Linked DNA regions of Caenorhabditis elegans. The protein of the gene in region 2 purifies or fractionates together with the protein of the main gene of each other region. This does not show direct contact. Each region holds a gene or a part of one and is shown on either strand. Other genes may lie near its edges.

Evidence for each region.
Region 1: the proteins of ddx-52 (region 2) and xrn-1 fractionate together in Caenorhabditis elegans (co-fractionation; one large-scale study listed by BioGRID). This does not show direct contact.

The regions. Positions count from the first base shown.
Region 1 is NC_003280.10:14,067,173-14,072,173, reverse strand, and holds the start of xrn-1 (5'-3' exoribonuclease 1), read right to left. Parts: upstream 3,268-5,001; 5' UTR 3,178-3,267; coding exon 2,971-3,177; intron 2,038-2,970; coding exon 1,937-2,037; intron 1,520-1,936; coding exon 1,312-1,519; intron 1-1,311.
Region 2 is NC_003279.8:8,596,775-8,601,570, forward strand, and holds ddx-52 (putative ATP-dependent RNA helicase DDX52), read left to right. Parts: upstream 1-1,883; coding exon 1,884-2,085; intron 2,086-2,136; coding exon 2,137-2,246; intron 2,247-2,294; coding exon 2,295-2,499; intron 2,500-2,544; coding exon 2,545-2,684; intron 2,685-2,730; coding exon 2,731-2,885; intron 2,886-2,930; coding exon 2,931-3,089; intron 3,090-3,138; coding exon 3,139-3,705; intron 3,706-3,751; coding exon 3,752-3,959; 3' UTR 3,960-4,101; downstream 4,102-4,796. Other genes in the region: paxt-1 (Partner of xrn-2 protein 1), read left to right, coding at 180-297, 346-443, 492-579, 628-758, 806-1,011, 1,392-1,651; snrp-27 (U4/U6.U5 small nuclear ribonucleoprotein 27 kDa protein), read left to right, coding at 4,596-4,796.

The DNA.
Region 1 (5,001 bases), on a different chromosome or scaffold from region 2:
GGCTGAAAAAAATTTTTTTGGACCACCTAGAGTTTTCCAAAAATAAATTTCTGGAAAAATCCGGTTTTTTATGAGGAAAAAAGTAGAAATTTGTACGTTTTTCATGATGAAAAATAGCTGAAAATTATCATTTTTGGAGCCCAGATTTGCTCAAAAATCAATTTTTCTCATTTTTTGAAGGAAAAATTAATTCGCTTTTCACTAAATCTGACAGCGAAAAATTGCGAATTACTTTTCACAAATTTTTTTTAAATGCAAATTTTAATGCATTTTTTCTGCCGAATTTCTAGATCATTTTCCATGAAATTTGCTACAAAATTCATCAAAATAGATGAAAATTTGAGTGTTTTGGCATTTTTTTTTCTCGTTTTTAGCCGCTTATTTCGCGGTTTTTTCGGCAAAAAAATCAGTTTCTGAGCCAAATTTTCCGAATTTTCCGGCTCCCTGTCAGATTTAGTGAAAAGCGAATTAATTTTTCCTTCAAAAAATGAGAAAAATTGATTTTTGAGCAAATTTCAGCTATTTTACATCAAAAACGTACAAATTTCTATTTTTTTCGCCCTAAAATCCGAATTTTCTAAAAAATTTCAAGAAAAATTGCAATTTTTCGCTTTCCGAATCTTTTTTAAATAATAAAAATTTGAAATTTAACACTTTTTTACTCAAAAACCCGGTTTTTAGCATTAAAATAGACGAAGAAACGTGATTTTTTCTTGATTTTAAGCCAAAATTGGCTTGAAATCTGTGAAATTTTTTTTCGAAAATTCGAATAAATAAACGCTTTAAAGCAAAAATTCAGTTTTTTCTCTAAAAAAGTTCGCAAAATTTCACCTAAAGGCCCAAAACACCGCAATTTTTAAAGCAAAAATATACAAATTTTAACGTTTTTATAAAAAAAATTGGACTAAAATGCTGATTTTTAGCTCTAAAACATAAAAAAAAATCGGGTTTTTTTTGTTGAAAAAACACTTCATTTTTGGGTCTAAAATCCAAAATTTCCTGAAAAATTGCAATTTTTCATCGATTTTTTCCTAAAAAATATGAAAAAAAATTGACTTTTGAGCAAATCTGAGCTCCAAATTCGATTTTTTTGGTCAAAAAAAATTTTTCAGCCATTTTGTTGGATTTTATCGCAATTTTCACAGCAAAATTGTAAAAAGTACCACTTTTTTTTTGCTGTAAAATCCAAATTTTCCTAGAAATTTCATCAGAAATTGGAATTTTCATCAATTTTTTCCTGAAAAATTTAAAGAAAATTGATTTTTGAGCAAATCTGGAGCTCAATCTGAAGAGAGCCATCATTTTCCTCACATTGTGACCGCTGAGAATAATTTTTCGGCCTTGCCAACGCGAATCGGTCGCCGATTTCGTTTTAATCCAATCGTCAAGCTTCTGATGAAGCCGTGTCATGAAATATGTGCCCGGGGTGATACAATTCGAGTCGAATCGAGCTTCAGATGGCATAATTTCGCCATTTTCCAGCGCTTTTGCGAGTTGAGTATGGGCTGTTCGGGCTGACCTGGAAAAATTGCAATTTTTGCTAGATTTTTTGAGCTTTTCTGACGTTTTTGAGCCGAAAAAAATTGAATTTTTTGAGTAAAAAAGAACAAAAATTGGATTTTTTTCAAATGAAAAAGCACAATTTTTGGTTATTTCTGACATTTTTGCGCCGAAAAATTGAATTTTTTGCAGTGAAAAATAACAAAAATTGGATTTTTTTTTTAGGTGAAAAATCACAAATTTTGGACATTTTTGCAGTTTTTGAGCCGAAAAATTGAATTTTCAAAGTGAAAAATACAAAAAATTGGTTTTTTTAATGGAAAAATACGAAAAAAATGAGTAGTTTTCCAATGTAAAAGCACAATTTTTTGGTCAAAAATCGCCAATTTTTCACCAAATTTCCTTTTTTCCTGCTAAAAGCAGCTCTTCCACATACATGAATCGTCTCGCCCGTTGCTGATTCATTTTTGCTCGCGGAGCCACACCGTCGACGGCCATGAAGAACACCTTTTGCGGGCGAATTAGATTGTAGAGATTCTGAAAAGAGAAAAATATCAAATTTTGTCATTTTTTACAGCAAAATTTGAATTTTTTGAAAAAAAAATTCAATTTAAACGGGAAAAATGCGCACTAAATCGTGATTTTTCAGACAATTTTCTGCTGAAAAACCGCCAAAATTCGATTTTTTGGTGATTTTGCAGTTTTTGGACATTTTTTTTCATCGTTTTCAACATTAAAATCGCCTTTTTTCGGTGAAAATCGATCTGAAAACCGCCAAATTTCTACTTTTTCAACAGTAAAACTATCGATTTTCGGCGGCAAATTTTAATATAAAATCCAAAAAAAAAAAATAGGCAAAAACTGCCCGAAATCAGGGATTTTAGTAAAAAACTGTAAAATCTTGTCCTCGGGGAGTACACGAGCCGTGTAAATCGACACATGGCCGTGGCCGAGATCCAGAAGGCCGATTCTTCCATTTTCAGACGTAAATAAGCTCAAAAAATCCAATTTTTGGCGGGTTTTTGACAGAAATTTGATGTTTTTTTTTCAAAATGTTCCGTTTTTAGGGTTAATTTTCTCCGTTTTTTGTGAAATTCCCTGTTTTTGAACTAATTTTCGCTGTTTTTTTGTGAAATTCCTTGTTTTTGAGCTAATTTTCGCCGGTTTTGGGCTAATTTTCGCCGTTTTTAGCCTAATTTTCGCCGGTTTTTTTTTTGCAAATTTCGCTCTTTTTTGTGAAATTCCCCGTTTTTGAACTAATTTTCGCCGTTTTTTTTTGCAAATTTCGCTCTTTTTTTTTTGTGAAATTCCTCGTTTTGTTTGCAAATTCCTCCATTTTTTGGCAATTTTCGCCGTTTTTAGCCTAATTTTCGCTCTTTTTTTGTGAAATTCCCCGTTTTTGAACTAATTTTCGCCGGTTTTTTTGCAAATTTCTCCGTTTTTGGGCAAATTTTTTCGGCGGCTCTTTACCTCAATATACGCGAAAATATTCACGAAAATCTCGTCTTCCGTAATTCGAAACGTGACGTCATCGTCATTCGGATGCGAGCAATTATGAATAATTCCATTCATATCCAAATACAAATTGTCGAATTCCGGAATTTGCGATTCGTTGATCACTTCACTCAGACACGGATATCGCTCCGATGTCCATCGGTAGAACTTGGGGACACCCATTTTCGGCGGGTTTTTGGCGATTTTTTGATCAATCCGTTAATTCTAGCGATATTCTAGATACGAGGAAGGGGGTTTTCTAGTCGAATATCTGAAAAAAATGGGGGATTTTTGAGGCGGAAAATCGATAAATTGACGGGCAAAATCAAGAAAAACACAATTTTTTATGTGGAAAATCCCAAAAAAAAAAAGCGCTTTTAAACGACGATTTTCTGTTAATTTTCGAGTTGGATTTTTGCGGAAAGTCATGAAAATCCCATTTTTATGCCAGAAATCTCGATGATTTTGCTTTGAAAACGTGTTTTTTTTCTTCAAAATCGGAATATCTGAAAAAATGGGGGGTTTTTGGCGGAAAATCGATAAATTGCCTCGGTTGAAATCGTGAAAAATTCAATTTTTTATGGAAAATCTCAAAAAAAAAATCGCATTTTCTGCAAACTTTCGAGCGAAAAATGAGATTTTAAACGATTTTTACGTCGATTTTTCATGAAAATGTCTATAAAATTATCGAAAAATCGATTTTCTGGCGATATTTTCCAATTTTCCACTAAAAACTCGTGTTTTGTGATACGAGGGTGGTTTTCTAGTCGAATATCTGGAAAAAATTGGGGATTTTGAAAATTGATAAATTGTCTCGGTTGAAATCGTGAAAAATTCAATTTTTTATGGAAAATCCCAAAAAAAAACCGATTTTTTTCGTACTTTCAAGGAAAAATGAGATTTTAAACGATCTTTACGTCGATTTTGGCGATATTCTTTTTTTTGTCTAATTTCAGAGTTTTTCGACTCAAAAAGCTAGTTTTTAGTGTTTTTGGTTGAAAATTGGCATATTTTTTTTTGTGGTTTAATTTGAAAATACCGCCAGAAAATCGACTTTTTGATGGAAATTGGTGAAAATTGCACTCAAAAAATGAAAATTCGTCGATTTTTGATTGATAAATCTAATTTTTATCTTAATTTTTTCGATTTTGAAGTGGCAATCACGTTTTTAAAGCAAAAAATTCGAGATTTCTGGCAAAAAAAGGGTTTTTCATGACTTTCGGCAAAAATATTTCGAAAATTAACAGAAAATCGCTAAAATCGACGTAAAAATCGTTTAAAAGCGCATTTTTCCTCGAAAGTACGAAAAAAATCGGTTTTTTTTGGGATTTCCCATTAAAAATTGAGTTTTTCTTGATTTTACCGGTCAATTTATCAATTTTCCGCCAAAAATCCCCAATTTTTTCCAGATATTCGACTAGAAAACCTCTCGTATCACAAAACACGAGATTTTAGTGTTTTTTCATGAAAATGTCTATAAAATTATCGAAAAGTCGATTTTCTGGCGATATTTTTCAATTTTCCACTAAAAACTCGTGTTTTGTGAGACGAGAGGTATTCTAGTCGAATATCTGGTGATTTTTGGCGGAAAATTGATAAATTGACGGGCAAAATCAAGAAAAACTCAATTTTTAATGGAAAATCCCAAAAAAAAAAACACCGATTTTTTTCGTACTTTCAAGGAAAAATGCGCTTTTAAACGATTTTTACGTCGATTTTAGCATGAAAAACCCTTTTTTTTGCCAGAAATCTCGAATTTTTTGCTTTAAAAACGTGATTGTCACTTTAAAATCGAAAAAATTAATATAAAAATTAGATTTATCAATCAAAAATCGACGAATTTTCATTTTTTGAGTGCAATTTTCACCAATTTCCATCAAAAAGTCGATTTTCTGGCGATATTTTCAAATTATAAACCACAAGAAAAAATATGCCAATTTTCAACCAAAAACATTAAAAACTAGCTTTTTGAGTCGAAAAACTCTGCAATTAGACAAAAATCGCTGA
Region 2 (4,796 bases):
TGTTGGAAAAACATGGCGCAATACGTCATTTTGTAGAATTACCACCCATGCCTGATTTGTTTTGATTTCAAATTTTATAGATTTAAAAAATTAATGTTTCTAAATTGTGTTCTGGAAAAAAAAACATTAGTTTTATAATATCACACTTGTACTATTTCTAAAACAATTTTCAATTCCAGAATCCAACTTCAATGCCTCTCACAATTATTCATTAATGTAACACTTCTCGGATGTGAATATTCTCAGACTTTAATGCAAAAGATTCGAACAATGGGTGCTGGAATTGCTGCTAACAAAGTAAGTGATCTTCATTATTTAAAAATATATTTCAAATTTAATATTCAGGATCGTACAAAAACTGGAAGTTACGTGAAGGCATCTGCAGCGAAAAAGCGACAAGCAGTGAAGACATCAGATTTAGAAGGAGCTTCTGATGAGTCTAAGTAAAAAAAACTTTTCAAAAATTGCAATTTTCAATCTTTTTGTTCCAGAAAAGTAAAAATGGAAAAGTCTCCATCGCCAGTAGCTCGTGAATCTTTTGATGAACGTCTTGGAAAACTCAAGGCATCTCTTGCAATGGTGAACATTTCAGATTTAACTTTTAATCTTTTAATCTTTTAATTTCAGACACCTCACCATCTAACGGGCGAACAAATGATGAAAACTGCCACGAATAGTTGTCTCATGAAGTGGCACGTGAACAAGATTAACCAGAAAATTGAAATAACTATCGATCGATATGTGGCCTTCAGACATACGTTTGTATAAAAATCTTCGAAACTATTTGAATTTCATGTTCTTTCAGATTCTCCCAATACTGTGTTGATCCAAGGGATTGTGCAATCAATACTCTAATTGAAAGCATTCTTTCGTGTGACGCCGCTGTTCACGAAGAAAGCTACGAAATTAGATTTGATGGAGTTCCGGTGGACGAGTGTTACGCTAAATCAGTCACCAGAAGACTTGCAAAAATTAAATCAGCAGTTTCTAATGGTGCACATACAGTTAAAGGCGAGCTTTTTTCATTTAAAAAAACAGTATCACTAAATTGAATGAAACATTTGGTCTCAAAAGTAAGGATTATAAAAGTTGGAACAATATCTCTTCAAAAATCATTTTAGAAGTGGGATTGTTGAATTTGATTGCAAGCTCGTTTTATCAATTTTCGGCTGTAAACCCATTTTTATTAGCGGCAACACGTTTAAAAATTTTAAAATATTGCTTCCGGTACTTATGGATGCCGTTCCCTGAAACAATTATTTTTAGAAAATATATTTGAAAATTGGAAGAAAAAAACTCGAAAGTTTGTTACAGTACTCAATCCGAACGGCAATTGGAAAACAAATAATTTTGCCTTCTTTTGAAAAAATGTATTTAGAAAACTTTTTCAGGTCTTACAACATATTTGGATGCAGTTAACATGTCAATGATTCAAAATACTCAAAAATTGGAAGGATGGTCTCAACAACTTGATCTCGTCACTGCCGATCTTCTTCTATCTTCTCGTGTTTTATCCAGCACTGAATGCACTAAACCAGCGATGGCAACGATCGCGAATCAAATGAGCGAAGACGTGTGTCAACTGATTCTCAACGATAAAATCAACGTCATTAACTCTATGAAATCTCACAGCTCTCTTGCATTCCAATAATCTCAATTAGCTTGATCTAGGGGAGCTTACTTTTTTTGCACTCGTGAATATAATTTCTATTGTTTTATTTATATTTGGCTTTGGTTTTTATACAACTACATCAAATTTCCTATGAATTTTACTGACTAATCGTTGCATTTTTACTCTAATTTTTTATAATGATGTTGAATCTCATCATTTTTACCTCTTTCGAAATGTTCACCCGAATCTGTATACCTATATGTGATTTCAGATGTCCTTGGCATTTAGAACCCTTTCGTTCGGTATTAAAAGATCACAACCGAAAAAGAAAGATGCCGATGATCTTAACAAAAAGAAAGAACTATCAACGATCACAGAAGAATCGCTTCGGAGATATGACGAACTTCGTGAAAAAATGATCGGAAAAGTCGAGTCAAAAATTGAGAAAAAAGTGAAGAAAAATAAAAAGAAAGGTTAATATTGTCTATTTAGTATAATACTTATAAACCATTTGTAATATTCAGCGTCGATTGAAATTCTTGCATCACGAAAGAGAGTACATGATTCTGACGGAGATTCTGAAAATGAAGTGGAGGAGACCGTTGGCGACGTGGAAAAGAGAATGCAGAAATTGGTGAGATTTCTACAGAAATTTAATTTTTATTTGAAAAAAAATCTTCAGCTCGACGACATTCGCCGTACCAATCGAATTTTCACTTGGGGTGATCATCTTCCTAATATTATTCTACGATTCTCCGATTCCAGCATGTCACCATCATTGCTCAATCGTCTATCTGAGAATTCAATCCGTCAACCATCACCAATTCAAATGCAATCAATTCCATTTATGACTGAGAGAAGAAATGTTCTTGCTAGTGCTCCCACAGGTAAAGACTTGAAAAGAGAAAAACTTCCAATTCCGGCTGTTCCAGGATCAGGAAAAACGTTGGCGTTTGCTCTTCCAGTCATCGATGAGATTCTCGAATTAAAGCAACGTGCTGATTATTCATCCTCTAACTCTTCGAAGCTGTTGGCAGTGGTACTCGAACCGACAAGAGAACTAGCAGCACAGGTTCTACAGAATTTATAGAATCGTAATCAAATTTAACGATTTTCAGACTTACACCGAATTTTTGAAATATTGCGCCAATACTTCGATCTCAGCTGCCAACTTCAGTGGAGAAGAAACTGATATTCAGCATGCAGATATCCTCGTGTCAACTCCAAATCGTATCGTTTTTCATTTGGATAAAATTGATACGTCTTCATTAAGGTTTGCATTTGAACCATTCCCTAAAAACTTTGTTCATTTTTTCAGATGGCTTGTCGTTGATGAATCCGATCGTTTGTTCGAGGTTGTTGAAGGCCAGGACAAGTGCTTCCGTAACCAACTCGCTGCAATTTACAAGGCTTGTGATGCCAAATGCACACGTGTCGCATTCTTCAGTGCCACATTTTCACATGAAGTTGAAAAATGGTACGTTTTCGAAGATTTGTCATATCAAAATTCCATATCTAAATTCCAGGTGTAAGGAGAATATCGATGAAATTGGTATGGTATGTGTTGGTGAACGAAACTCGTCTAATACAAGTGTGAAGCAAAAGTTAACCTATTGTGGAACTGAAGATGGAAAGAAAATCGCTATTCGAAATTTGTTGCGAACTTCCTTCAAACCACCAGCTCTAGTTTTTGTACAAAGCAAGGATCGTGCCGTGCAACTGGTGAAATTACTGTCTGCAATTGATTCAAATCTAAAAGTTGATTCAATCAACAGTGGAAAAAGTGATAAGGAAAGGGATGAAACGATGGAAAGGTTCCGTCGAGGAGAGATATGGGTTCTCGTTTGTACTGAATTACTTGGAAGAGGTCTTGACTTGTCTGATGTTGGATTGGTTATCAATTATGATTTGCCAACTTCAATTGTTAGCTACATTCATCGTGTTGGAAGAACTGGTCGTGCTGGAAAGAGTGGTCATGCTGTCACATACTTCACAGATGCTGATATGAAGTATATTAAATCAATTGCAACTGTTATCCGTCAATCTGGTTTTGATGTGCCGGAGTATTTAATGGAAATGAAAAAAGTCTCGAGGTTTGAGGGTAATCCTATTGTTCTGAGTACTCAATTTTTAATTCAGAGATCGTAAAAAGGATATGCTCAAACATGCTCCAAAGCGTCACAAAATCGCCATTGTAAAAGAGCAGGTGATCAAGAAGAAGAAAATGTTAGCAAAGGCAGCCGCTGAGGAAAAAGCGAAGAATAAAACTGAAACACAGACAGCGGAGAAACCAGAGAAGAAAATCAAGAAAAAGAAGTTGATCAAGAAGAACAATAAGAATATATAAATGTTTTGCGAATTTTGCGCTCAATTGTTTTGTTGTTTCAGTTGAAAATTGTTAGGATTTTTTTGTTTTTTTGTTGTTTTGCTGTTTTTCGTTGTTGAAATAATCGAGTCCAATTTAAAAGTTTTACCATTATCTCCATTTTATCCAGAACATAGTGTTTTTAAGTTGATTATAATGTATTTTTCATTGAAACTATATTTTAATTCACGCCGAAGCTGTTATGATGTTCTGGACGAAACCGATTTTTTTTTTGAAACGGAGAAGAGAAAGCGCGCCCCACCGTACAAACGAAAATATCGACGATTTCAGCAAATTTCACAAGCATTCAGTTTTGTTTGGTTCTTGTCCAATAAATTTCTCGATTTCTTTTTTTTCTTGTCCAAAAAAAAACGTTTTATTGAAAAACAAACTAATTCTTTTTCCTTGTACTCGGCTTCTGGTTTAGAGCAGAAAACTCATTTAGAAATATAAAATTTTAATTATTTCATTTCTTACTCGTTATGATGACAATAAAGGAGAATTGAGTCGAATTTTCCGCGGAAAAATTCTTTATGACGACTTTTCTTTTCAAGCTTCGTAAATAGCTTTGCGTTTTACTTTCGTTACAAGTTTCGTTTATTTTTCAGTTCGCGAGCAATGGGACGTGACAGAAGTCGCAGTCGCGATAGGAAGAGACGATCCAGATCAAGATCAGTGGAAAGAAGGCGAGAACGAAGTAGAAGTCGTGAACGTCGAGATGCTCGCAAAAATCGCGACGAAAAAGAAAAGAGAAGCAGTCGAAGCAGAAGTCCGCGCGATAAACGAGATCGGCGGGAAAGAAGTCGATCACGGGATCGA